Linked DNA regions of Coturnix japonica. The protein of the gene in region 1 interacts with the protein of each later gene in a biochemical or structural test. Links are inferred from orthologs where the notes say so. Each region holds a gene or a part of one and is shown in the gene's direction. Other genes may lie near its edges.

Evidence for each region.
Region 2: the proteins of ANXA1 (region 1) and S100A11 form a complex in vitro, tested with the Homo sapiens proteins (2 studies listed by BioGRID). The link is inferred for Coturnix japonica from reciprocal best matches to the Homo sapiens genes ANXA1 and S100A11.

What each region holds. Positions count from the first base shown.
Region 1 is NC_029547.1:32,380,101-32,391,002, forward strand, and holds the end of ANXA1 (annexin A1), read left to right. Parts: intron 1-289; coding exon 290-369; intron 370-1,298; coding exon 1,299-1,355; intron 1,356-1,732; coding exon 1,733-1,826; intron 1,827-2,406; coding exon 2,407-2,502; intron 2,503-3,237; coding exon 3,238-3,296; intron 3,297-4,172; coding exon 4,173-4,295; intron 4,296-5,609; coding exon 5,610-5,669; 3' UTR 5,670-5,979; downstream 5,980-10,902. UniProt on the Homo sapiens protein: Plays important roles in the innate immune response as effector of glucocorticoid-mediated responses and regulator of the inflammatory process. Has anti-inflammatory activity.
Region 2 is NC_029540.1:871,773-882,881, reverse strand, and holds S100A11 (protein S100-A11), read left to right. Parts: upstream 1-5,306; 5' UTR 5,307-5,548; intron 5,549-5,658; 5' UTR 5,659-5,854; coding exon 5,855-5,857; intron 5,858-6,771; coding exon 6,772-6,921; intron 6,922-7,160; coding exon 7,161-7,313; 3' UTR 7,314-7,438; downstream 7,439-11,109. Other genes in the region: COPA (coatomer subunit alpha), read right to left, coding at 8,188-8,247, 8,556-8,750, 8,850-9,011, 9,221-9,331, 9,415-9,601, 10,007-10,143, 10,363-10,431, 10,610-10,687 and 2 more. UniProt on the Homo sapiens protein: Facilitates the differentiation and the cornification of keratinocytes.

The sequences.
Region 1 (10,902 bases):
TTCAAGGTTTTGGGGCTTTGTTATTGTTATTTTCACCTCTTTTTCACAAGCAAGAGCCTAAGTGTTAGTACCTTAAGGTGAACATTTTCAACAGTTTTTGGGTTTAGCCTCCAATTTCATAGCACATCCCAGGGTTAAGAAGACAACACACAAAAAATCTATTTTCTCAAAATGAAACAAGAGAAAACTACAATTCTATTGAGCATATTTAAGGAAAGATGGGGAAAAAAAGAGCAATAAAGATGTCATGGTTTAAAACAAACTATTATTCTTCTTCATTTGACTTCAGTACTGAAGAGAGATCTGACACAAGATATAATTTCTGACACATCTGGAGACTTTCAAAAGGCTTTGGTTACTCTAGCCAAGGTATGTTGTACTTAAACATTTTCAGTGACATTAGCAGTAATGTTGTCAGGATTATGTTAAACTTGTGAAATAAATAAGAATTTAATTATTATTTATTTTGTTGTGCTGCTTTTTTTCTCATATAACATAGATCATATGCAAAGATTCTTCAACAAGCTACAATAAGTTCTATCTCAGACAGATTTTAAAGAAATGTATATGTGTTGTTTATTATAATTTATTAATTTGATGTTTAAGTTTTTTCAGTGATAGCTGTCTTTTAGGACTTGAGAAAACAGCTAGAATATCTACTGACTAGAAATATAAAAGGAATAAATGCTTATTTTGGCTACCTGTTAAACCTTTTTGGCTACCCATTAAAATGCTTTTCCTGTGAGGTAGTTTCAGGGTTCTAATAAATTGACATATTTTATGTATGTATGTATGTATGTACTGTGAATGGATGCTTGAAAGCAGTTCAGTTGAAGAATGGGAGCTAAGAAGTAAAAATAACTTTTTAGAATACATGAATATTTGGTGCCAACACTGCTGAGTATGTGTACATGATTCTTGTGTACATACATAGTATTATTTTTATGATGCACGGTTTAGGTTTTTTGTTTTCCTTTTAAATCACCTTGGAAGAAGTCTACTCAGTGGTCATCAGACAGCGTGCCACAGCTTTAAAGATTGTAACTTCACATTAAGACACTCATATCAATGTATTCTAATGTATGATTTCAGAAATACACTGTTGGTGGCCCCAGAAGTGGGAGCTCTGATTGGTTAACAAAAATGTCAGCTTACTCACAGAATAACTAACATAACTGCAGCTGTCTGCAGTTCTATATTGAGTTCTTGATGAATATGGCAGATCAGAACTCTAAAATACTGAATTTTACTGAACTGGATTATTTTAACTAACAGTGGATTTTCTTATTTTTATATAGGGTGACCGAACTGAAGATCCTTATGTGAATGATGATCTTGCTGACAATGATGCCAGGGTAAGACTACACTTAGCACTCAGCAGAGTTTCTTTACTTGACACTATTACAAATTCTGCCAGGCTGTGAATGTTCTGTCTCACCACTTGTGCAATGCAAACTCGACAAACAGTTGTATATTATGTAGCAATATTTTCTGAGGGGTGCTATTTTCCAAAGTTCATGAGGTGCGCTAGCTGAAATGAAAACTTAAATAGCCAACTTCAGAAATGTTGCAAAACGTCTTTTACGGTAGCTTTTAAGGTAGAGGTCAGTATTGGGAGCAAATAATCCTCAGGAATACAGTATTTCTATATGGGTTTTACTATACCAATGTTAACTTTACCATTTTAATTTAATTTTATTTTTTTAAAGTTTATTTTTTGTGTCTATGGCAGGCCTTATATGAAGCAGGAGAGAAAAGAAAAGGGGCGGATGTCAGTGTGTTTATTACCATTCTTACTTCAAGAAGCTACCCTCATCTTCGAAGGGGTAGGATGTGTGAAATTTTTTCCTTACAGGAATTGTGTTTTGAACATGGCCTGCTCATAAATTCAAAGATTATGTAGATTTCCAAGATGTTAGAAGACTGCTATGAAGGTTATGCTTGATGACCTAATGGCGCAGTTGGCCACTCTGCCATTCTTTTCACTCTAGTAAAGAGCAGTATCACTTAGTTTATTAACATAAATGTTACTCACAAAACTAGTGAACACAAGAAGAGTGAATCAGTGTGGTTGGGTTCCAAACACATGGTGCAGCTCCTTAAACCAGGTTGCCCTCAGTGAGAAAACTGTACAGGTTCCAGTGGAATAACTGTATCACCTCTTCTTCTGCTAATGTGAAAATGAGCTCCACACCCTAGCACAGTTCTCTTCCTCATGTTGACATCATCAGCTCTTACAGTACTGCTTTTGTTTACACTGTGGTAGCTGAAGGAAATGATAAAGATGGACTGCAACCAGTCATGTTTGTTCATTGCCATAGCAGTACAGACAGAATAACAAGGTCAGTTTTGAATGAGAATACTATATTTTCATCACTCCTCACTGAGTATTCTTCCCTCATTTAGTCTTTCAGAAGTATGCCAAATACAGCAAGCATGACATGAACAAAGTACTTGATTTGGAGCTGAAAGGTGATATTGAAAACTGTCTGACTGCCCTTGGTAAGTACTTCTGTGGGTAATAAGTTATTATGTATGCTGACTGTATGAAAAACTAACTTTTACTTCATAGTAATGGAAAACCATTTTGGTTTATCTTCACTGGGAAGCAAGACATTAACTACGTATAGTTATTAAAAACATAATATATTTTCTTTAATGGTGTTCTTCAAGAAAGTACTATTATAGGATTCATGATAAAGATGTATATTAAAACCTTCAAAATTACCTGCATGAGCAGTAAGGTGAACCTCTTAAATTACTTGTTGTTCTTGGACCAGGGATGGGATAAGAAAGCAGACCCTCAACTTGTTTTTCTCTTTTGCATCACAGTCGAGCATTCTTTGGATAAAAACAAATGAGATCTCTCTTAGTATCAGATGTGAAGTGCTTACAAAATATCAGGTCATAACCTCCAGCTTAGCTGTAGAGAACCTGAATTTTCATGTTTTTTCTTTGTAAGAACTGCAACATCTTACATTTTGTGACAGCAGGCTTGGAAGTACAGTCCTGACTTTAGAGAAAGTAGAATTTTCTTCTGTGATTGAATTGCCTTCTGAACAGATACAGGAAAGGAACTGCTACTTCTCCCATATTTTGAAGTCAAGTGAAAGAATAAACAGGTTATCTGTGTATCTAGTGAGAACACTGAGATATTTTAAGAATTCTCTTCAGTTTTTGATTTTGTTTCTTTCTACATTTATAATATACATGAGTAATTCCACTGTCTCATTATAGTGAAGTGTGCCACAAGCAAGCCAGCTTTCTTTGCTGAAAAACTCCACTTGGCAATGAAGGTAACCTTGAGAAAGAACTTCTTGTGTTCGTGGGGTGCTTTATGAATGGAAAAATCAAACATAGAGCTAGATATCTCCAAGATCTTTGTGTAATAAAAATGAGACTGCAGAGGAGAATCCAATGTGATTCTGCCTGACTTCACTCCTTTGAAATTTCTGAGTGTCCTTCCATAGAAAGAACTGTTGATTTGCCAGTGTGTATTCAGGAAGGCACCCCTCCATTCACACATACATCTTATATTCTGCGCTGTAACAGAAATCTAACTGAATGTCTTCATATTTTTTGTAACCACTAAAATATTGGTAATAATGAAATAGGAAAGCAGCTATAGATCAGGAGGGGAACCTTGTAAGAGCTTAATCTTTGGCAAAACATCTGACTGTTTTGGATCCTGAGTTGACTACGGCTCATGTGGCTCATGAAGCAGTATATTATGCAGGAATTTATGTAACGCCTGTGATTTGATAAGGATCAGCTTTGACTGGTCCATGACCAGCTGGGAGAATCATGAAAATAACAGTTCACTAAAATAAATAAACAAATAAATAATAATAAACTCACCTCAAAAATACACTACAGCGAAATCTAGCTTGTCCCTGGTTTTCAGCAAGCATGATAAAAGATTTGTGTATTTTTAGGAAGCAAATGAAACAAATTCATAAGAAGAAGTCCAAGGGTGGAGACAACCAAAATTTAACCACACTGGAACTAGAAGGTTCAATATGAGTGGACTAAATATTTTAGAGAAATCGGACCTTTGTACTGATAAAAATATAAATAAAAATATGGATTAACAGAAAGAATCTTAATTAGGAAAATTTTTCAATGACTTAAATAGCACTAATTTTTGTTTATTTGTTCATTACTTTTTACAGGGGAGTGGAACACGACACAAACAGCTAATCAGAATCATGGTTTCACGCCATGAAATAGACTTGAATGAGATCAAGGCTTATTATAAGAGTCTGTATGGTATATCTCTTCGCCAAGCAATTATGGTAGGTTTTCTCTTGAGTGAGCTACAGAATGGTAAAAAATGTTTGATAATTCTTATGCTTTTCAGTTATCTGAATAATGCATAGCTGAGTAACTCATGTTCTCAGAGATCCATATGCTGGTAGAACTGACTTACTTTATGGTGCAATATTTTTGTTGCAAAAGCTATAATTTTTTGGCTAATTGTGGTTATCTTATAGTAGATACCAAAAGTTGAAAGATTAATCTATTCCCAAGCTCCTGACTTGGGCAGACAAAGCATGTTAGTGGGAGGGTGGACATAATCGATCTTACAACTTAGTGAGGTAAACTGTGTGCATTTGGCTCTTTTCATGTTTGAATACTCCTGCAAATATCTTATTAAGTTGCTGTCTGTTTGTCCTGCTTTCCAGGTTACTTAGTTAAAATGAGATAAACTGTCTAAAATATCTTTTTAAAGGAGACAGTCCACTCAATTTATTTCCTAGAAAACTGAAGCAAGTGAGGTACTAGAAGAAAGCTAAACCTGCAGAACACCCTTGTGGAGGCTAATGATTAAGGAAGAGAGCAGAAAACATAGTCTCTACATGTACTAAAGTACCTACTTGATTTTAGCTTGTGTTGGCTTCTTTTTCACTTAGATGACGGAGACCATTTTTATTCTTCCACTATGATTGTGTGTTATCTGTAATTCTCTATGAAATATCACCATCTTAATCAAAATGGTGAATGTATCCAAATGACTCAAGGCCTAGGTTGTCTGCAGTATATAATACTTTAGTATATGTACGATAGATTCAAACTTGAGAAAACATAGCATGTCAAATTTCAGTGAGTTATCTATTTCTCATGGCTGAGTAAGACATTCTTTGGTGAATCCAGTATCACTGGACTATTAATGGCTCATACAATCATAGATAAAATGTTCATCATGTTTTAGTGCAGATGAACACTGGATTTAGTATGAATGAACATGTGTAGTATTTTAGTATGAATGAACACTAGATGTCACTGATCAAGGAAGGCATTTTCACTTTGTGTAATGAAGGAAAACTTAACCTCCTGGACATTTAAGTCCTGTCTATTTCCTACTTCTCTTTTTCATTTATGTCTAGAAACATTTTATTTTGTTTTTTGTCAGTCTTGTTTACATTTACTCCTGTCTGGGAAATGAATAGTTCACTTCAGTGAGAGTACTCAGTTCAAGCTCATGCTGTGGATTATGTTGTAAAATGATGAATTTATTTATGTGAATATCATATGTTTAGTAAATGTACTGAAATTGATTTTGCTTGTGACCATTATCCTAACAATTGTACTTCTCTATACTTTGACAGGATGAACTCAAAGGGGATTATGAAACCATCCTGGTGGCTTTATGTGGAAGTGATAAATAAGTATCTTGCTCTGATGCACTCAAGTCCTGTTGCTGAAGGTGTTTATATTAGCCTTAGCTGCCTATATAATATACAGGCTTCACACAGTGAGATTTCTTTGGAATTGTACTTAGTATTCAGCTTTTATGTAGAAAACCTGGAACTCTGAATGTATTCTGTATGGAATGAATAAATCTTTTTACCACTATTTATCTAAAGTCAACAAATATCATTAAGTTTCTATTTGCTTAATTAATCATGAAAGAATGAAGTTTTCATCTAAGAAAATCAAACTAACTTTAAAAAAATAAAATTAATCTCTGTGAATTTTGCTTGTAGATTCATTTTTTTTCTTCATTTCCTATCAGCTTGTCTACACACAGTACATGAAATAATAAAAAAAAACCAACAAAACAAAACAGTTAATTATTTAAATAGTCAAAACAGAATATAACAGTATCAGAGTATTGTTGATTTTGTACTTTTTTCTTTCACTTCAGCAAGGATTTATGGAACTCAGATGTTAAAAATTAACTGAAAGTGACTTGTTAAAAATGTTAATACATGAAAAAAAAAGTTATATTTGATTTACTCTTTAAAGATATTAATTATAGTTTCTATGTTGGAAAAAGAAAAAAAAGGAAGAAGTGATTACAGTTCATGATCTTTTTTTTTTTTTTCCTTTTTTCCTGGTGGTCTTATACAGTATTTCCAAAATGGAAAACCTGCTATTGTTACCTCTATTATTATTACCTCTATTTTTTCTGTTTTGTGTCACTGTCCAGGCTTTAGATAACTAATGAGGTAGTTATAAACCCCAGGTGCACTGGTGGAATTAGGCTTGTTGATTCTTAGTTTTGTACAAACTTTGGTGGTCTCTTTTAGGGTGGCTTCCAAATATTCCTTTGAACAGCAGACTTAGCTACTGGGAAATCAGAGATCACCTTGGCTGTTCTGTGATAAAAATTGCAAGCTGTCAGTTTCACACTGGAATGATCTAGGATAATAGAAATAGATATCTGGAAAAGTTGAATTTTTTTTAATAGAAGAAAATATTAGAATGAGGACATCTGGATAGAATATTCCCACATATCTTTCACGGAGACAGCTATTTTCATTTTTCTTAACTACCCTATGTATTTTTCAAGATGCATATACCCATACTACTATAGTTAACTCTGGTCATAATTCTTGTTTCTTCATAGGATAGTCAGGCAAAAGAGCTTATGGGAAATAAACATAATGGTTGTCAACTAAAGCAGAGAAACATCGAAACAGATAAACACACACAAATTATGTTTAAGATATCTCACTTAATAACTGACAAGCTTCAGAGAAAAGCAGAACAAACCACTCTGTATGTTTTGATTGTGTCACTAGTGAAAGATTCACTTTCTTAAGAGGCAGGTGTCCAGAGAATTCAACACACCTTGAAAAAAAAGAGAGTAAACCTGTAGTTTGTAGTTAGTTAATAACTAATTAAGTTCTAAGAAGTCAGTTATTAGGCCTGATCAGGAGACTCTTTCTTGCAAAACATAGGTTATTTTGAAATTGAGAGGTGTTTCAGCTCTGCAGAAGGTTAGAGTCTGATTTCATCAGCGTAGGAAATAATTGTTTTTCAACAGGTATGTACATTCAGCAGGAAAGTCAAAAGACGCAAAAAACGCACCCAAAAAAAGCTACTTTTTCTTTAAAAATAATATAGCTTGAGGATTGGTAGTAAATTTGTACGTATCTTAAGCAGGCTTTTTCCAGTCTTGTTTTGCAGAGTTCAGATGTGCCTCAAGAGTAGCAAGCCTGGTCTTGCTATTTAGCTTTAATATCTGAAGAAGTGAGCACTTGGAAGTCTCTTTAGGTGCAAATGAGGAGATAACAGTATGAAGTCAAACACATTACAAAGAGGAGTACTTGCTAGCTGAGTATTTGAAGATCTGGGGAACAGAAGGAAATGATTAAATTGCACTACTAAATTCCAACAGCTCTCCTAATTGTAAGACATTTCAATAGATTTTCACATGTGCCTTTAGTAAGGTCAAGAGTGGCACCGTTTTGAGTATATTCTGTTTGGTCCCATTTCTGCAAATATAAATACTGTTTTTGTTGAAGAAGAGGGATTGCCGTATGTCTATGTAGTTGCATGTCATGAGTAATCATAGGTTAACTACTGCTGCATTCAGTTAAATTCTTTTAGCCTTTGATTTCCGTCCATGAGGCAAAGCTTTCTGTACAATGAGAGTATTAATTTCAAAAGTTTTTTTTTAATTTAATTTTATTTTTTTTATTGATGTTGTTTAAAGGGAAGTTTTAAAAGAAGAACACTTTTGACATATGGCCAGTTCACAAGCATCCTTACTGTTAGTATGTATTGTCTCTACTTCGAATCTCCAAGACAAATTTGCATCCAACTTTACAGTTCAAAATTATTTTCAAGTACTGAAAAATATAGGATTTCTGTTAATACTTGTGAAACAGACTGATTGCACCACTCATTTCATTGTGAAAACATTTCCTAATGGTCAGAGCAAGAGATGGGGAATATTTCTTTTAAAATAATAACAATGATTAAGTGTTCCAGTTAAAGAAACACCTAAGGGCTTAAGTAATTTCCTGACATTTAGAAAGGGCAGTCTGTCCAAAGAAGCTATGGTGCACAAGCAAGTGGGGATAGAGAGAACAAGCAGTAAATCGACGAGCGTGTTTTCTGTGCCAATTACTAAGTGCATCAAAAGAGAAAATTAAGCTAAGCTCTAAATATAAGACACTTTAGATAGAATATTTTTAAATGCAGATAAGTTTATACGTAAGACAGGTAAAAGGAGATTGTTCCTCCTGCTTTTACACCTAAACAAAGGACAAAATCTGACATATAATGTCTGCTAATGAATTTGAAACATAGATCCTAAGGACTCCACTCAATAGTTAACTACTTCTTGTGCTGAATTTTGGGTGTCGATTAGTCCATAGAGTTCTACCAACAAATTTGCTTCCATGTTTTCTGCTGCCACTTTATTAATCAATGTTAGAAATAAAGTACTGGCTAAAGGAAAAAGAAAAAAAAAAAGAAAAAAATAAAATAAAATAAAAAAAGAAGATGAGAAAACAAAATGGTATTATTGATTCCTCCTAAACTATCTTCAAAACAAACAAACGAAACATCTACCACATTGTATCAAATGCATTTAGACTGCAAATAACTGCAGAGTACTCAAGATGTTAGGGTGAGAACTTGCTTGTAATGGAATTTACACAACTACTGGTGAAGCACAGTGTATGAATTCTATAATAATTCTTCTGATGTGGAGAAAGTCATGCACAAGTGACTGCAAAAATAAAGAATCTAGTGGCAACAGGGGATACTACTGTTACACTATGAAGGCAGCCAGATATGCTCTTGGGAATACATATAGTAGCATTTCAGTGGCACTGGGCTTTTTGCATTCACTTAAGACTTTCAAGGAAATGGTAGCACAGCTATTTAAAGCTTATGAAGGAGAAGTAAAAGCTAAAATTAAGAGAAAAGAAAATGCCTATAAATTTGTCACGGGAAATGCCATAATGAAAAGCATGCTAAAACTTTCCTTATTATTATTATTATTATTTTAAAGTAATTTGTGGGAAGAAAGTGGGACAAAGGAGAAGAAAAGCCTCTAACAATTAAAAAACAAATAAACAAACAAACTTTAACAATTAAATGACCATCAAAACAATCAATCAAACAAACAAACAAAAAAGAAAAACAGAACTAGAATGTCAATTTTTTCATTGTCATACAGTGGCAGCCTGTAAGTAAAAAAGTGCTCTGAGAACACAGATTCAAAGTAACCTTGTACAGTAATGCTCTGTCTCTAGTGATACAGAACAGGAAAAACTTTTCTAAAAGACTGGGATTTTTGCTCAAGCTAGAAGGTACTGTGTGTGCCCCGATGGCGCAAGTGGTAGGAATGCCGCTCTGCTACACAGAGGCTCGAATCCCGGGGGGTTGGACTCGATGATCTCTAAGGTCCCTTCCAACCCGCACGAGACTATGATACTGGAAAAAACATTCTTTCAAATCATGGTAAATATTTTATCGGTGCTTCATAAAAAACACTGAACATGTAAAGCATGCCACGTTTATAAAATTGCTAGTTTTTCTGATCCATTCTCTTCATCACCTGAGACATATTCTCCCATTTCTTTTTCCACTGTGGATGCCCTTCTTTCAGCCAGGCCTGAATGTTAAGTTTGCACGAGACTGTGAGAGGTGTCTGGAGTTTTCCTCTGTTGTTTCCAAAACTTTGAACTCTGGTGCCACCCTGTGTGTAACATGAGAACAATGACAAGTGAATACATTACGACGAGAATTCAGCCTTACACAAGTGAAGAGCACATCTATACACTGCTTTCCAGGATGTCAGAGTGACAAGACCCAAACCAGATCAGTTTCAGAACAGTTTATTACAGAAAATTGAACCTTTTATTTTTTTTTCCTCAGTATCTTTAGCTCTGGTTTTAAGTAGAAATAAGATGAGAAAAGATAACAGGACTACCTGATTCACAGTTAAGGGGATTATTGAAAGATTTCCCAGAGCAGCAAGGCAGAGAAAAGCATTAGGACACTCAGTAAAAATCTTTTAAAACATGTTACCAATGTATCAGTGTAATTATAAATCTGAAGAAGGAAAATGTTTGTTTAAACCAAGTCCTACACTTGTGAGACAGTTGTGTGCCCTACTACCTGGCTTTCTGTGGCATATATAAAACAAAGAAGGTTCTGAGATATTTTTCAGATTACTGATCAAGAGATTTGAAAAAAATAAAACATTTGGGATAAGAACACACATCTGAAGTTACTGTAATAGAATGTTAGAGATTCTTACAGCTAAGATGCCCTCTGTGCTTGCCCAGTGTAAAGGGACAAAGGCATCAGTCTGTTTTACATGGATTCATAGACTCAAAGAACGAATTGGGGTAGATTGGTATTAGCTGGCACCTTTAGAGACCATCTAGTTCCAACTCCCTGCTTTGGGCAGGGTTGCCAGCCACTAGATCAGTTTGCCCATCCTTCATGATCAGTTCCATCCTTCATCATGACCTTGATCACCTCTAGGAAGATCCACAATGTTTCTGGGATGCCTGCTCCAGTGCCTCACTTCCCTCTCAGTGAAAGTTTCTCCCTTGACAAATAATCTAAATCTTACCTCCTTTGGTTTAAAACCATTCCTTTTATTTTTTATTTATTTTTTTTCCTATCACTATCACTATCATCACTATC
Region 2 (11,109 bases), on another chromosome or scaffold:
CATTGTGGCTGAAGCTGAAGTTGATTGTGGACATCCGCTCGTGTAACCCAACAAGGAAAGAGAGGACACCAGGAGACCACGTGAGTCTGTGAGGTATGAGAGAACACGGGAGGACATTGTGGCTGAAGCTGAAGCCGATGTAGAGATCAGCGCCGTGTATCCCGGGAAGTCGAGAGAGCAGAGCAGGCCAGGAGACCAAGTGCATCTGCTAGGTATGTGAGAGACACGAAGGACATTGTGGCTGAAGCTGAAGTTGATGTGGACATTCCGCCGTGTAACCCAAACAAGGAGAAAGAAGGACACCAGCGAGACATACGTGAGTCTGTGAGGTATGTGAGAGAACACGGTGAAGGACATTGTGGCTGAAGCTGAAGCCGATGTAGAGATCAGCCGTGTATCCAGGAAGTCGAGAGAGCAGAGCAGGCGCCAGGAGACCAGATGCATCTGCTAGGTATGAGAGGACACGGGAAGGACATTGTGGCTGAAGCTGAAGTTGAGTGTGGACATCCGCCTTGTAAACCCAAACAAGGGAAAGAGAGGACACCAGGAGACCACGTTGAGTCTGTGAGGTAATGAGAGAACACGGGAGGACATTGTGGCTGAAGCTGAAGCTGATGTGGACAGATCGCGCCCGTGTATCCCGGGTACGTGAGAGAGAAGAGGAGCCCAGGAGACCCCGTGAATCAGTGAGGCGTGAGAGGACACAGGAGGACATTGTGGCTGAAGTAGAAGGGGACGTGGAGATTCACCGTGTAACCCGGAAAAGGGAGAGAGAGGATGCCAGGAGACCACGTGAGTCTGTAAGGTATGAGAGAACACGGGAGGACATTGAGGCTGAAGCTGAAGCCGATGTAGAGATCAGCCGTGTATCCCGGGAAGTCAAGAGAGCAGAGCAGGCCAGGAGACCTCGTGAATCTGTGAGGTATGAGAGGACACGGGAGGACATTGTGGCTGAAGCTGAAGCTGAAGCTGATGTAGAGATCCGCCGTGTATCCCGGGAGCAGGAGAGAACAGAGGATGCCAGGAGACCATGTGAATCTGCTAGGTATGAGAGGACACGGGAGGACATTGTGGCTGAAGCTGAAGTTGATGTGGACATCCGCCGTGTAACCCAAACAAGGGAAAGAGAGGACACCAGGAGACCACGTGAGTCTGTGAGGTATGAGAGAACACGGGAGGACATTGTGGCTGAAGCTGAAGCTGATGTGGAGATCCGCCGTGTATCCCAGGAACGTGAGAGAGCAGAGGATGCCAGGAGACCTCGTGAATCAGTGAGGCGTGAGAGGACACGAGAGGACATTGTGGCTGAAATAGAAGGAGATGTGGAGATCCACCGTGTGACCCAAGAACGCAAGAGAGAAGAGCAAGCCAGGAGACCAGGTGAATCTGCTAGGTATGAGAGGACATGGGAGGACATTGTGGCTGAAGCTGAATTTGATGTGGACATCCACCGTGAGACTCAAAAAAGGGAGAGAGTATTGGAGGCCGGGAGACCACGAGAATCAGCCGGGTACCAGAGGACACGAGAGGACATTGTGGCTGAAATAGAAGGAGATGTGGAGATCCACCGTGTAACCCGAAAAAGGGAGAGAGAGGATGCCAGGAGACCACGTGAGTCTGTGAGGTATGAGAGGACACGGGAGGATATTGTGGCTGAAGCTGAAGCTGATGTGGACATCCGCCGTGAGACCCAAAAAAGGGAGAGAGTATTGGAGTCCAGGAGACCAAGAGAATCAGCCACGTACCAGAGAACACAAGAGGACATTCTGGCTGAAGCTGAAGTAGATGTGGAGATCCGCCGTGTATCCCGTGAACGTGAGAGAGAAGAGGAGACTAGGAGACCAGGTGAATCTGTGAGGTATGAGAGGACACGGGAGGACATTGTGGCTGAAGCTGAAGCTGATGTAGAGATCCGCCGTGTATCCCGGGAACGGGAGAGGGCAGAGGATGCCAGGAGACCCCATGAATCAGTGAGACGTGAGAGGACACGGGAGGACATTGTGGCTGAACTAGAAGGAGACGTGGAGATCCACCGTGTGACCCAGGAACGCAAGAGAGAAGAGCAGGCCAGGAGACCAGGTGAATCTGCTAGTTATGTGAGAACACGGGAGGACATTGTGGCTGAAGCTGAAGCTGATGTAGAGATCCGTCGTGTAACCCGGGTACGCGAGAGAGAAGAGGATGCCAGAAGACCACGTGAGTCTGTGAGGTACCAGAGGACACGACAGGACATAGTGGCTGAAACTGAAGTTGATGTGGACATCCGCCGTGAGACCCAAAAAAGGAATAGAGGATTGGAGGCGAGGAGACCACGAGAATCAGCCACATACCAGAGGACACGAGAGGACATTGTGGCTGAAGCTGAAGCCGATGTAGAGATCCGCCATGTATCCCGGGAAGTCGAGAGAGCAGAGCAGGCCAGGAGACCAGGTGAATCTGTGAGGTATGAGAGGACACGGGAGGACATTGTGGCTGAAGCTGAAGCTGATGTGGAGATCCGCCATGTATCCCGGGAAGTCGAGAGAGCAGAGGATTCCAGGAGACCATGTGAATCTGCCAGGTATGAGAGGACACGGGAGGACCTTGTGGCTGAAGCTGAAGTTGATGTGGACATCCGCCTTGAGACCCGAAAAACGGAGAGAGAGGACACCAGGAGACCACGCGAGTCTGTGAGGTATGAGAGAACACGGGAGGACATTGTGGCTGAAGCTGAAGCTGATGTAGAGATCCGCCATGTATCCCGGGTACGTGAGAGAGCAGGGGATGCCAGGAGACCCCGTGAATCAGTGAGACGTGAGAGGACACGGGAGGACATTGTGGCTGAACTAGAAGGAGACGTGGATATCCACCGTGTGACCCAGGAACGCAAGAGAGAAGGGGAGGCCAGGAGACCAGGTGAATCTGCTAGGTACGAGAGGACACGGGAGGACATTGTGGCTGAAGCTGAATTTGATGTGGACATCCACCGTGAGACTCAAAAAAGGCAGAGAGTGTTGGAGGCCGGGAGACCACGAGAATCAGCCAGGTACCAGAGGACACGGGAGGACATTGTGGCTGAAGCTGAAGCTGATGTAGAGATCCGCCGTGTATCCCGGGTACGTGAGAGAGAAGAGGAGCCCAGGAGACCCCGTGAATCAGTGAGACGTGAGAGGACACAGGAGGACATTGTGGCTGAACTAGAAGGAGACGTGGAGATCCACCGTGTGACCCAGGAACGCAAGAGAGAAGGGGAGGCCAGGAGACCAGGTGAATCTGCTAGGTACGAGAGGACACGGGAGAACATTGTGGCTGAAGTAGAAGGGGATGTGGAGATCCGCCGTGTAACCCGAAAAAGGGAGAGAGAGGATGCCAGGAGACCACAGGAGTCTGTAAGGTATGAGAGAACACAGGAGGACATTGTGGCTGAAGCTGAAGCTGATTTAGAGATCAGCCGTGTATCCCGAGAACGTGAGAGAGAAAATGAGTCCAGGAGACCTGGTGAATCAGTGAGACGTGAGAGAACACGGGAGGACATTGTGGCTGAAGCTGAAGTTGATGTAGAGATCAGCCGTGTATCCCGAGAACGTGAGAGAGAAGATGAGTCCAGGAGACCTGGTGAATCAGTGAGGCGTGAGAGAACACGGGAGGACATTGTGGCTGAAGCTGAAGTTGATGTGGACATCCGCCGTGAGACCCAAAAAAGGGAGAGAGGATTGGAGGCCAGGAGACCTGTCCCTGAGCCCTGTGATCCTCAGACCATCGCGTATTTGATCCATGTTATCCAGAACCTGAATGATCCCAAAGCTACCACGTATGAGATCATCTGCCAGCAGTCCAATGACTCAGAGCAGCCTGTCTATGTAAGGAAATGCTATGTTTCACCACAGCCACCAGCCGGACCATGCAAAGAAATCAGTGTCCTGGATCCCGAACCACAGCATCTGCCATCTTCCAGTTCCCAGGAAAATACAAGGGAGCTCCAGGAGCCTAGGAAAGGTGAGACTCAGGAAAGGTCTGCAACAGGGGTGAAGGAAGGGGCTCAGCAAACTTCTGCCCCTGAGTTGGATGGTGATGCCAGCCAGGATGAGCCCAGAGAAGACAGGAGGGACCACCAGAGTCCCGGAGTGCATGATGTGGAAGAGAAGGGTGATGGACCAAAAGCCACCAGAGAGGAAGTCTCACAGGAAGCTGAATCCCGAGGAAACAAAAACAGAGAGGCCAAGAGCCGTCCACCCCCAGCCCAGGCTCCAGAGCTGCAGGAAGAAAATAGCAAAAGGAGCTCCCAGCAAGAGAATACCACTCAGCCTCAACATGAGGAGGAATGCAGCCCCATGGCCCCACAAGCACCAAGGGATGAGGCCAAGGCACTCTGAGGGGTTATCCCATCTGTAGCTCCTCTGAGCATCTCCTTGCCCTACACTTAGATGTGACTACATGGTGGCACATTAGTGCTCAACACAAAGGGGTAAAGGGGTGCTCTGCAAGGTGGTGAGATGCTTTGGGGGTTCCCCTCCTGACAAACCCTCAGCAAGGCAGACAGGTAGAGTTATACCAGGATCAGCAGCTCCTGCCTGCCTTCCTTATGTCTATGCTTCCCCCCTCCCCTCCCCACTGCAGTATTTAGTCACTTTCCTGCTCTAATTGGATTCCTTGGGTCTCAGCCCTTTGTGCTCCTGTAGTCTCTTCTGCCCTGTGGCATGACAGCTCTGCAGCTCAGTGCTCTCTTTTTCTCCACCCCCCCACCATGGCTGGCTCTGCAGCTTGTCAGCTTCTGCTGTGCACTGCACAAACAAAAATCCCATTCACTTATTGTAGTCACGGAGCCTGAAATTCCTCAAGGCTGGGAAAACACCTCTGTAGGCTCCAAGTGTTTGGTCACACCTTTCTGCTCTCCCAGCAGCTGAGCAGAATCCCAGCCCCAGCATCACGGAGGCTTTGAAGTGGTTGAGCTCTGTGTGGGTACCGCAGGGAAATGGTGGTGGAGGGTGCATTGGGGTTTCTTCTTCACGCTGATGTATTGCATGAAAAAAATCACAATAAATAGCTGATGACTGCACTGCCTGCTGCTGTTCTCATCTGTCATTTATACAGGCGCTCAGTATGGTGGGAGGGTGTCTCAGTTCAGATCTCTCCTTGGCACTGAATCTAGGCAGGGGTTGCTAAAAGAGAAAGGAAAAAGCAATTTTATTTTCATTTCCAACATGTGGGGGCAATAAATGAGGGAAATCAGGTGGGGAAGGGCCCCTCCCCACCCATTTCCTGCTTTCCTTTCCCCTGCTCTGAATCACAGTTTCCAGCAGGAATTCCCAAGCAGGCGTGGGTGCACCCAACATGCCCAAGCAGCTTTGGGTGCTCCCCCTGTTCTCAGTTGACCCCCACAGCCCCCCATCCTGGCTCTAAGCAGCTCCATTGCACCCCATTGGGGGGGAACACATAACAGGGCATACTGGGGCAGTGAGAAGGGGGAAGCTGCCTTCAAGGGTGCCCAAATTGAAAGCAAAGCCTAAGGATGCTGCAAGGAGTAGAGGGGCAGCATTAGGAGCTCAGCCCTAAGCCTAAAAGAAGAGAGGTATGATGCGAAATAGATAAAAAGGGGGGAGAGGGGATGGAGGAGGGGAGGGAAAGAAATAGAGAAAACAAAATGGAAGCATGATAACTGCAAAAACTACAACGTAAAAGGGAAGGGAGGAGCCCGGCCCGAGGTGGGAACCGCAGGCACGTCCCGATCCGCCGTTACAGCCGCCTATTGCCCAACGTGGCCCCGGAGGGCTGAACCAGGGCTGGGCGCTGCTGGGCGAGGCTCACACCGCCCTCAATTGCTGCACAGCACTGAGCACCGCATAGCGAGCACCGCACCGAGCCCTGAACCCCAGCCATGGTGAGTGAGCATTAGGACGGGGGGGGGTGGAAGCAGAACCGACGTGAGATGCATCGTGGCACTGCGAACAGTGCCAAAAGCTGAGCTGAAGCTCTTAGGGAGGGGTCTGGGCATAGGGGAAGAGAGCAGAGGGTCCCCCCGTGGTTGTGGGGTTGCAGCAAGCTTTCTCTTTGCTCCATCTGTTGTCCTTCCTAGACCCTGTGCTGGGGGCTGCAGCTCGGGTCCAGGGTGGGGGATACAGAGGAAGCGAGAGCTGAGACAGTGGAAGTACAGTGGGGCAGGGCCAACATATAGGAGTGAATGGGGCCTCGGGCAGTGCAGGATGTGGCAGGGAAGCCCCAGGATGCTGAGGTTGGGGAGGAAAGGTCCCACATCCCTGTTCTTGCTCTCACTTTGTGGCTTAACCCTCATCCAGCTCCCCATGTTCTGGCTGCAGTTGGGTGCCAGCCCCGCTCACATTTTTCTCCAGTGACTCAGAGTTTCTGCAATGACCAGACAGTGCAGGGGAAGGGGGATGGGGAGAAGGGGAAGATAGACATAGGGACACAGCCAAGTGGGGCTGGAGAGCACAGAGGAAGGCAGCAAGACTCTAGGAAGAGGCAGCTGCCCTCACCCCTATGTCAACTGATGGTTCCCCAAGGGAGTTTCCATGTTCCTTAAGTTCCCAAGAGCCGCTGCGGCCCTGGAACAGCCACAACCACTCCCTGCACTGCACCACTCCCATCCCTCCTCACCACAGGGCTGTGCTAAGCAAGAAAGAAATGAATACCAAAGAAAAATGCAGCTGGACAGGTTGGATACAGGAAACAATGGAGGGCAGGCGGACCTGAGCCTTTTCTCCAGGAGACACACGACCCTTCTTGCAAAGGCAGAGCAAGCTGTAGGCACAACCTGAGCTCCTTTCTGCTTTGCAGTCCAAGGTTTCCCCCACCGAGACCGAGCGCTGCATCGAGTCGCTGCTGGCCGTCTTTCAGAGGTACGCAGGGCGTGAAGGAGACAACCTCAAGCTTTCCAAGAAGGAATTCCTGGCTTTCATGAACACCGAGCTGGCTTCTTTCACAAAGGTGAGTGAAAGCCAAGCCAGGACACTCCCAGGGCATTGAAAACCTCTGTCTGTACCACAGAGTACAGGGGAAAGCCCTGATTTCCATGAGCAGAACACAATCTGACCCAGCACTGCCCCCAAATAGATTCTGCTCCTTTTGCCAAGGCTGTGTTAGGGCTGAATTCAACAGCTTCAGGTCCATACCTGGGGGTGCCCTTCTCCAGGTAAGCATCGATCCCATCTTTTGGTCTCTTGCAGAATCAGAAGGACCCTGGTGTTGTGGACAGGATGATGAAGAGGCTTGATCTCAACAGCGATGGGCAGCTGGACTTCCAGGAGTTCCTGAATCTCATAGGAGGCATTGCAGTGGCCTGCCATGAGGCACTGCTCATTCAACCTCCTCGCCCCTAATCCAAGCAGCCTCATCTCACCCCCACTGTGAACATTCCTCAACCATAAACCCTAGCAAATATGGAAACAATATCACAACATCCCTAACTCCTTGTTTTTATGAATAAAGGTTTAAAATCCTATCATAAAGCCTTGCTTTATTTCAGAGAAAATAACAAGCAACTGCAGCCTCTATTTTCTGGAAATAAGAGAATTTTCTCTATCTGGCAGCGTAACAACACAAGGAGATGGGGTGGGTGATGTGGAAAGAGGAAGTATAATGTAGTATCTAAGAGCTAAGCTACAGAACAGGAAGATCAAGGCAGTCAATTTACTTTATTCATGTCAGAGGCAGATTATGCAGAGAAATGCTGCTAGGACAACAAAACAGTCAACACAAACACTTGGGTGCTGAGCTGCTCTCCAGTCACTTCTGAGGGTGATGTGCTGGCTCCAGTTTCAGACAGTGCCACACTCCTATGAGAGCCACACCCAGCTGGTTCCTGCCATCCAGGTACTATAGGATCCTTAAGGAACCCTACACTAATGAGTGTGAGAGGCAAGCAGTTCCTATTGAGTGCACTGTAGCATATCCAGGTCTTGGCAAGAGCCACATCATTATACCCTCTGGAAAATATATGCCTGAAAACAATGGTACACAAAGACAACATCAGCTGGATCTGAAAGGGGATCCTAAGTTATTACTACTGCCAGCAGAGAGCTTTGCTACAGCACTTCTGGGTGGAGAAGAGCAGTTAAGACACAACACAAGTATAGCTACGGTGAAGGGAGTTGACTAGAAGCTGGAATGGTGGGAGGTGAAAGCTTCCACATCATGCTGAGAAACAGGGCCATCTTCCTCTGAACTCACACCTCCCAGGGACTGGCACACAGCTCAGCGGAACTGGAGGGGGCTGATCCGCAGCCCAATGACATCTTTGCCAATCTCTGTCACCTGAGGAATGAAAGGGTGATGATTAATGCTTGAAACTAACAGAATAACCCAATCCCGTATGCAACACGGAGAGCCTGGATGGTTCCCACAATGAACTATGCTCATCCTTGCAATGTCAGGCTCTGAAGGCAGTATCTAAGCTATGTCGTATTTTGTAATTTCCAAACTGCTCCACCTCAAATATTAAGTCCTCTGCCCACCAACTTGATCCAAAACCCACTTCAGGAGCAAGGGGGAAGCTACTGGAGAGGAATTCTCGAGGAAAACACAGGCTAGATAGGAGTGAGTAGCAACAGAAACTCCCTTACTGTTGTGACACGACAGATCTGCCCCTGGAACTCAGGGCTGTAGCAAGCTCCACTGAGTGGACACTTCTCCACAGGCTTGCCACGATAGATGGGTCGGTAAGAGGCAGCACAGATGTCAAAGGGGTTGTGCATGTCATAGTTGAGCTGGTAGGTGTCAGTGGGATTCTTCTCGCATGCCGACAAGATCTTGCGGGTCTGCAAAAAGCAACCACATCATTCAGAGGGGGAACTAGAAAGCAGACTAAATAGAGTCTACTACAAATAGTGTTTCAAGGCCATGCAACACAGACATACCTGCTGGGCCACCTCAGGCTTTGGCCCCAGCTCCAGCAGACGACGAGCAAAAGTAGCAGCTGTCTTGAAGTTTTTGAGTTTGAAGAAGAGGTTGAGAGCAGTGCGCAGTACCAGGATCATGTGGACAGGCTGTAGGTTGGAGTGGGTGAAATAGGCAGCCATCTGCATCAGGGAGAAGGAGGTAAAGCAAGGATACAGTCACAACCAACCAAGTAAGTAACTGGATACCCTGAAAATGAGACCAAAAACACACAACCTTCTCCCAGTTCATCACTGCCACATCTGTTTTTGAAGGCAAGAAGTGGCAGAATAGAAGATTCCCAATGCCTATTTCAAACCTAAAGGCTATTTCTGACACTCAGCTTCTGTACCTCACAGATTCGCTTCTGGTGTTCCAGGGTCTCCTTAGGCAGTTTCTTCCGTTCGATCTCCATTGAGAGCCCTACGATATACTCCCGACAAATGGCTATCAGCTGCTGGGCCTTTGAGAGAAGGAGACAGTCAGGCATTTGGCCTCCAGCCCCATAGCCACACTGACAATAGGCAGAAGAGGTCTACCCCTCACCTCAGCAATCTCCTGCTTATTGTCCACCACCAGCAAGGGCACACTCAGCAAGATGGAGCGGAACTTCTCCACAGCCTCTTCAAACTTGCCAGCTGTTGTGAGCTGGTAACACAGCTGCAAGCGCTGGATCAGGTCATTGAGCTTCAGCCCAACAGCTGGGAGGGCATTTTTTATGCCAGCTTCTTTCCTAGAGGCACCACAGAAGGGATGGAGTAGAAGTAGGAGTAACACAGAGGCCAGCCAGTACACACCAGCATTACACAGCTGCAACTTAATGGCACTGTAACCTAGAGCTGTGCTGTTCTTGACCATTAGCATAGCATAAACAACACCTGTGCTTCCACAGTTGTCACCCTCAATGCCAAGCTCTCGCTGCATTAACACAGGATGGAAAAGTCTGACTTATTTTTCCACTGCAGTTTCCCCAGTATCACAGTAGAAATACACATCTATGTTTCTTTAGATGTCCCAACCTTCAGACGACTAGCAGAGGTAGAACACCTAACTAATTTGGGCTATAACTGTTGAAGACTTGTGGATATATGGCAACAGGAAAAGAGCACAGAAGAGGAGCTAACCCAATATTGCTTACCAGTTGCGATGTGGGTAGCCATACATGGTAGGGAGACATGGCAGGGCTTGGTAGGTTGTACGGCCACGGGCGTAAGTCTGCAGGAACAGCTGCTTGTAGGGTCCAAAGTTCGTTACTCCCACCTGGTCATGGAGGAGCTGAAAGGGATACAATGATGTACTGACTTGTCCAGAGCCATAAGGAAGCTGCATAGACACCACTCAGGCTCACAGACCCTCTTAATTTACATCCAGAGAAAGAAATGTACAGAATGATTCACAGAACAAAGCTTCAGAGGGCAGAGACAAAAACAGAAGGGGACAAGGGCACCTTTTTTCCCCTCTCCCTTCCCCCCAGAAACACCAAGTGTAACTTACTCTCATTGCTGTCTCAAAGGAACCTGCCAGAATGTGGTCAACAGGAAGCTGTGAATTGTTACACCACACCTGCAAGAATGGAAGGGAAATCATACTGTGCATATACACACACTCACTGCCCTCAATCCCCTTAATAAGTTCTTGCGCTGTGCACACAGATGAATATTAGTAAAGACTAAATCTGGAAGAAATGAAACAGCATCAAGGTAGAAAGTTTCTGAAAAACATCAAAGACTTGTGATGTTACCTGAGCTGGGCTGGTGCCCTTGGTGGGTGGCACAAAGAAACCATCTTCTGCTCCTCCTGCTGGACCAGCAGGAACATCCTAAGGGAACAACACAGAGCAGAGATTAGTTCCCAGCACTCAGATGAAATCAGAGGTGGCCACAGCTGTAGCGACCAAGCTTCTAATGAAGCCCAGATCAGTATTCTCCCTCCCAACCCCCAGCTGCAAGCACCTTCCAAAAGCATCAATGACTCAAAGAACTCCCTACCAGTTCAGGAGGAAGATCCAAATCTTCTTCAACTTCCCATCCACCTCCTTCTTCCTGTCCTTTACCCAGACCTTCCTCTCCAAAGCCTTCTCCAGCATCCACAAAGCCATCTGCATGGAGAGGGGAGGAAAAGAAACCAACAACAGTTAGAGCTCTTACTCAGACACACGTTTTCACTTCTCTAAGAAATATTGTTTGACACACTCACCTTCATCGAGCTGTAATTCTGCATCTTCTCCCCAGCCTTCGGTGC